2 linked regions of the Arabidopsis thaliana genome follow. The protein of the gene in region 2 interacts with the protein of the main gene of each other region in a pairwise test. Each region holds a gene or a part of one and is shown on either strand. Other genes may lie near its edges.

The links.
Region 1: the proteins of HSP23.6-MITO (region 2) and VPS9B interact in a two-hybrid assay, tested with the Arabidopsis thaliana proteins (one large-scale study listed by BioGRID).

Annotation. Positions count from the first base shown.
Region 1 is NC_003076.8:2,890,380-2,894,136, reverse strand, and holds the start of VPS9B (vacuolar protein sorting-associated 9A-like protein), read left to right. Parts: upstream 1-2,042; 5' UTR 2,043-2,120; coding exon 2,121-2,203; intron 2,204-2,475; coding exon 2,476-2,623; intron 2,624-2,711; coding exon 2,712-2,882; intron 2,883-2,969; coding exon 2,970-3,149; intron 3,150-3,270; coding exon 3,271-3,757. Other genes in the region: NAC082 (NAC domain containing protein 82), read left to right, coding at 204-629, 906-1,514.
Region 2 is NC_003075.7:12,915,241-12,918,672, reverse strand, and holds HSP23.6-MITO (mitochondrion-localized small heat shock protein 23.6), read right to left. Parts: upstream 1,748-3,432; 5' UTR 1,585-1,747; coding exon 1,386-1,584; intron 1,249-1,385; coding exon 815-1,248; 3' UTR 563-814; downstream 1-562. Other genes in the region: AT4G25210 (DNA-binding storekeeper protein-related transcriptional regulator), read right to left, coding at 1-227; QWRF7 (QWRF motif protein (DUF566)), read left to right, coding at 2,672-3,364.

The sequences.
Region 1 (3,757 bases), on a different chromosome or scaffold from region 2:
GGTTTACGAGTATTTACTGATGATAGCTTGCCGTTTTAATTTGTTCCTTAATTGCTTTGATAGTGTGTTACTGTCCTGCCTGCAATTTTTTCCTTCTTCCACTTATATATTGTTTCCTGCTTGTTTAGTTTTATAGATTTATGTATCATCCATGTAAGCTTATATCACTCTCTCTTTACTTACAATTATGTTTTGGACTGCAGGATACTTATGTGGTGTGTGTTCTGTTCAAGAAAGATGGTCCTGGACCTAGAAATGGAGCTCAATATGGAGCTCCGTTTAAGGAAGAGGACTGGAGTGATGAGGAAGTACGTACTGATGTTCCTTCTACTAGTAATCCCACAAACCTTCTTGAGCCTAGCAAAGAAACCACTCTGGCTTTGACTGCCCCAGATGACTCCAATAAGGATTGTTTTGGTGGCATGATATCAGAGTCATGTGTCTCGGATTTCCTACCAGCTACAACTAATACCACCAGCGAGCTTCCACATCCAAGTGATGCAGCTACCACTCCTATGTCTACTGCACCTCTGGCAGAGACCGTTCAGACCCCCAACAATGATGACTTATATTCAATGTTGGATCTATTTGATGATGACGAAGAGTTCTTAGGGTTCAACAATAATGAGGTAGTTTTTTTTTGCATTCTTCTTCTTTGGCTTAGTATAGTGATAACAAGCCGGTGTCACTGCATGTTCTTAAGCTAGCAAGGCTACTTTAAAGCTGTTAAGTGTTTTAGTGGCATTGGAACGTAGTAGTTACCCATTAGACAAAGCTTCTTTGCTATATCTTCGATCTTAGTATCCAACATCAATATGTGCTCTTTTGTATCTGCTTGTTCTCCAACATCAATATGTGCTCTTTTGTATCTGCAAAATACATTCTCATATTTAATCAATCTACAGGTAAGATATGATCCCGGTGTCTCAGCTCCAGTTTGCTTAGAAGAAGAAGGCATTTTCAACGGACTACCAGAGTTGAGCAGCATGCCAAGGACGGCCTCTTACGACCTAGTTGAAAACTCGGAGTTATACCTAGAGCTACAAGACCTCACTGCTCCATTAAATCCCCAAACTGGGCTACAAGACCTCACTGCTCCATTTAATCCTCAAACTGGGCTACAAGACCTCACTGCTCCATTTAATCATCAAACTGGGCTACAAGACCACACTGCTCCATTTAATCCTCAAACTGGGCTACAAGACCACACTGCTCCATTTAATCATCAAACTGGGCTACAAGACCTCACTGCTCCATTTAATCCTCAAACTGGGCTACAAGACCTCACTGCTCCATTTAATCCTCAAACTGGGCTACATGACCTCACTTCTCCATTTAATCCTCAAACTGGGCTACAAGACCTCACTGCTCCATTAAATCCTCAAACTGGGAATCGCAATGACCCGAGAAGCTCCTCCTTTCTGTATAATCAAGGCCATTTTGACTTCTCTGGTGGTAATGATGATGATCCTTATGGCTTTTCTGCTTCCATGAGACATAGACCAAAAATGTAAAAAAAGAAGAAGAGAAGAGAAGCAGGATTTACAAATCCAACAGATGCAAATCAGACCGAATAGAAGGAGGAGCAAGCACCTTTGTTTCTTGTCTTTGAATTATGATTTTTATTAGTCAAAATCTTTTTAATGTGTCGAAACTTCCCTATCAACATTCTCTGTTTCATCCTTAGAATCTCGTATTTCTTCAGAGTATTCTCAACATTTATTCTTGTTTCTATTTTGCTATGGATTATTGTATATATACTTCTTCTGTCTAAATCATATCATTAATACTAAAAGGAATTTTAATGATGAATACTGAAAAACACAAAAACTAATCGGGAGGAACAAAAGTTCCAAGTAAAAACGAAGAATGAAAAAAGTAAATAAGAAGAAGAAAGTATCGTACCAGATTTAGGACCATAACAGATGATGTAGATGTAGGGCTTAAATGGGCTTCGTTTCGAATCCTATTTCGTTGGCCCAATATTTTAGCTTTCCCACCGCATCATTATTCATCATCTCGTGTATTAAAAAGCCGATTTGATCTCTTTCCACTAAAAACCTTGCTGACAAAGAATTCAATTTTGATTGTCGTCGATCGTACGGTATCTTGGGGGATTGATGGAGAACACAGACGTCGTCTCGGGTCTGCATAATTTCTTGAGTAAACCCTCCGCCAAAGATTTCATCAAATCAATCAAAAGGTTATCTCTCTCTCTCTCTCTCTCTCGCTTCTCTTCTTCGCTTTTTGTATACTTTAGGTTTATTTACTCTCTAGTTATGATTACATGTGTGCAAGATAAGATATCTTGCTGATTTCACATTGCTCTCTAGTAGTTATGAATAGTTTTTTTCGTTTTTGCGACAATGTTATGATATCGATGATTTGCTATAAACTTAAGCAGATTTTTGTTGTGATGGAAACATCACATGCCACTGGTTTTTTGAGTTGTGAACGTTTTTTGATGTTTTGCAGTTTCATTGTTTCGATCTTGAACACTGCACCAGACCCTGAAAAAGATTGTGATGCAGTTCAGGACTTCTTTTACAAGATGGAGTCTGCTTTCAGGGCTCATCCACTTTGGTCTGGTTGTTCCGATGATGAGTTAGACAATGCGGGAGATGTGAGTTATTCTTCTTCCCTTTTTCCTGCTTATCTCTCTCATGATTTATCTATAATAATCTTTCTTGACTTAATTTATGTATACACAGGGCCTGGAGAAGTATGTCATGACAAAGTTATTTCCCCGGGTTTTTGCATCAAACACCGAGGATGTTATATCCGATGAGAAACTCTTTCAGAAGATTTCCTTGGTTCAACAGTTCATATCTCCTGAAAACTTGGATATACAACCAACTTTTCAAAACCAAACATCTTGGCTTGTAAGTCACATCTATCTCTCCATAGTGTTGCTTGTTTTCTTATAATGGTTCTTACTTGTGATGTTTTTTTTTCTTATTTTATGGCAGCTAGCTCAAAAAGAGCTCCAGAAGATAAATATGTACAATGCTCCTCGTGATAAGCTTATGTGTATCCTTAGGTGCTGCAAAGTCATTAATAACTTACTTCTAAATGCTTCAATTGCTTCAAACCAGAATGAACCTGGAGCTGACCAATTTCTTCCTGTTCTCATATATGTTACCATTAAGGTATGTTGTCAAGGATTGTACAATTTAAGCAAAAGCTATTTCTGAATATGTCTCATGTTTACTTCATATTAACTCTTATCCTTGGATTCTGAAAATGACATTATTTGCTTTGTTTCTCCAGGCTAACCCTCCCCAGTTTCACTCAAACTTGTTGTATATACAAAGATATAGGCGTCAATCTAAACTGGTTGGCGAAGCTGGCTACTTATTCACCAACATACTCTCTGCAGAGTCATTCATCTCAAATATTGATGCAAAATCCCTCTCCATGGATGAAGCTGACTTTGAAACTAAAATGAAATCTGCACATGCACGTCTTTCTGGTCCGGGAAGCCAGTCTTATCAAACGGATCACGGTGCTGCATTACCCACTGCTCATAATACTAAGAGGGAAAACATGCTTCTGCATACAAAATCAACTGATAGTTTCTCTGGTACCAATGAAACACTGAGTGAAACACCAATAAAGAAAGCTGACCCCATTACCGATTTGGAAAATAAGGGCGCTGCTACGCTTTTGAATGATAGAAGTGAGGCAACCAAAATATTTCAAGAATATCCTTACATGTTTGCCAGTGTTGGTGATTTAAAGATAGGAGATGTTGAAG
Region 2 (3,432 bases):
ACAGGCTTCAGCTTGATCGTCTTAGCAGGCTCGGACTCGGGCTCGGGCCCAGAACTGGACTCCGATTCAGATTCGCCTTCAGAGTCAGATTCAGGCTTTTGCGAAGACTCGACTTTCTTCGGAACTTCAGCAGAAGATTCAGATTCTTCTCCAGATGAGCCAGATTCTTCTTCTTCACTGGAAACAGGAGGGCTTTCGACCACTTCCTCCGCCTTCTTCGGTGCCATCGAACAAACAGTTACGAGAGAGAGAGGAGACAGAGATCTGCGGTTCTATTTTCCCGTCGCCGTCGATTTGCTTTGCTCTTAGGTTTAGGTTAATGTCGAGGTTCTGTTTTTTGTTTTTTGCCCTACTTTTGTTTTTTTAATAAAAGTCGATCGATTCATTCAAGTTGGGCTGTCCAACGCGCTATTCTACTCGAACGGGCCTAACACTTTTACGCGTTATTAATAGACCAGTCCGTCGACAACTTACGCAGCCTCAGAATTCGTCTTAAAGTCTTCCTAGTTCCTAGTCTACAGAAAATTTTAAACCCAAATACGTTCCATAAGCTCCAGTCTCATAACCACAAAGGCATGTAAACCGACCGAGTTAGCTAAAAGAATACACGATTAGGAACTTATTTAATTAGTGCTTTGATTTGGAATGCAAATTTTGGTTTAAGCAAGACAAAAAACCACCGTCTCAAGAAAGAAACATATAACCTTTTAGTCTTTAGAGACTACATGACTCAACATCGACCGTGCCAAACTACACACACTTCTTATTCAAAGACCTATCAACAAAACTAGAACAGAAAAAAACGTCGACGTTTTTAGTTGATCTCGATCTGACGAACATCATTTCTCTCTTGTTCTTTCATCTTCGGGATCACAACTTTCAACACTCCGTTCTTCATCTCCGCCTTAATCTCATCGATCTTGTAAATCTTATCCGGTAATCCAATCCTGCTTGTGAATCTCCGATTACCGCTCTCTCCTTCCTCGCCACCATCTTCCTCGTTTTTTCCTTCTCCTCTAATCACCAGAGTGTCCTGCTCCAAAGCCAGCTTCACATCCTCTCTGCTCAGCCCAGGCATGTCGATTCTCAGGTACAGAGCATCGTCTTTCTCTTTTATATCCCAACCACGACGAGCTCCTGAAGCTCCCATGCCACGAGTAGCTGATAACAGAGGATTCTCCATGAACTGGTCCATCAGATTCAGCACTTGACTAACGCTCCTCGTCGGCGAAAACGGATCAAACACATCTACACAAAGACACAATCAATCATGTCAAGATTTTGAGCTCAGTGTAAGCTAATACCTGTTTTCTTACTAGATTTTCGCTACGTTAACAACAGAGAGACATAGATCTGGAGGAAAAGCGAAACAATTGGTTTGTTACCTGAGAAGAAATCACCACGGCGGCGAGGAACAGAGCGGCGATATAAATCAACGCCGTCTCCATTTTCGCCGTCGTCGTCGTAGCTCCTAACGGCGTTGGTGTTGAAGAGGCGAGAGGAAACAGCTGGACGAAGAACACTACGGGAACGTGGAGCGATGGAGGATGATAGGAGTCTCTTAAGAGCGAGAGCAGATGCCATTTGTAGAGAAACAGGAAGCTTTGTTGAGAAAGTTTTAACAGTGAGTTTAGTATTTATCTGAGAACTGTGTGCGACGAAACTGGAGACAGGGGAGGACTATATACAGGAGTTAAGTGTTGAAGGTGGGATATTGTCAGTGAGTGAATGTTCTGGAGAAGTGGGGAGATTGATATTTCTCTGGATGTTTCTAGAGATCCGTGGCTCCCAAGCTAAGTGAAACAAATATAAATTGTCTTGTTTATTAACGGGCTACGGCCCATCGGTATTAGGCCTGTTTTAGTAGATTTATGGTCAACAAGTCAAATGACCCTAGAACATGGTACATGAATGAAAAGGACCAAAATGTGGACAGAAATCAACCAAAGGCCGAGGCGGCCACCAACCACCGAACGTGGGAAGGTCTGGTTCGGGCAAACATTCGAAAAGACCAAGAAGACTCGGATAAACAATTAAAAAAATCAGATATTGGAGAAGGCAAATATATATTGGTGTTGAGGTCAAGACTTAGAGTTTTGACGTTATTTAAAAAAAAATATTTTTGGGTAAAGACTAAAGAGTTTGACGCTATCTTGAGGTTTATTTATTCAACGTAGACTATATACTATGGGGCCGTTCTGAATTGGACCTTTTAAGTTTTGATTTTATTAAAACGCCATGTTGTTTAGTCGAGAGATAAACAAAAGACGTGTCTCTAGCTAAGCTGACCTTCATATATGCTTTGACATAATACATTAATTATAATCTCTCTTTTTGGTGTGTGTAAAAAATACACTCTATATTTTATTATGTAGACACACTACATGCAGAAGTGTTCTTACCTCTGCCTCTACGTGCTGTCAACTCCTACAGATCTTCAAGTACCCCAACCGTTATCTAACAGATTAAATATAATATACCCCTAACTATATTATATATCACAATTGTTCAAACCAGTGTATATAGACTAGACGATTCCTTGAACCATATAATTCCAGCTTTACTATAAGAGTCTTAAGGACAGGGGCAAGTGAGTCGAGAAACGAAACCGAATATAAGTCTTGTATGATATAGTCATATAGTTAACCGTCGTCATATATTAAAGAAGAAAATGGCAACCACCGGTCGGAGACTCCGTCCTCCATCGCCCAATAATAACCGGAGCCGGACTATAAGCTCTTCAATCTCTCTCCCAGTGTCCTTAAACGCCTCGTTATCGTCTTCTACTTCTTCATCTTCTTCCTCTTCGCCTTCCAATTCAAGCAAACGAGTGATGATAACCAGATCACAGTCCACAACAAGATCCTCCAGACCCATCGGATCATCCGACTCTAAATCCGGCGAGAACATAATCCCGGCGAGAAACAGCGCATCAAGATCTCAAGAGATAAACAACGGTAGAAGCAGAGAGTCGTTTGCTCGGTACTTGGAGCAACGTACGCGTGGTAGTCCTCGTAGTAACGCTTCATCGAGAGGGGTAAAGCCGGGAGCCAGCTCACCATCGGCGTGGGCGTTGTCTCCTGGAAGACTTTCGACTATGAAGACGCCTCTGTCCAGCTCAGCTCCGACGACTTCAATGTGCATGACGCCGCCTGAGTCACCCGTAAGCAAGGCCAAGATAAGAAGCGGTGGCGGTGGAGCGGTGGCAGGAGTTTTGAAGTACTTCATGGCGCAGAAGAAAGTATCTCCGGTACAAGAGGAGGATTATCACCGGTTTAGGATTTTTCAAAACAGATTACTTCAATGGAGGTTTGTTAACGCAAGAACTGAAGCCACTATGGCAAACCTTAAGATCAACGTTGAGGTACAAAAACTATATGAAAAATATTTAAATTTGTATCTTATAAATATCTATTAATTTGTTTCTGTGAA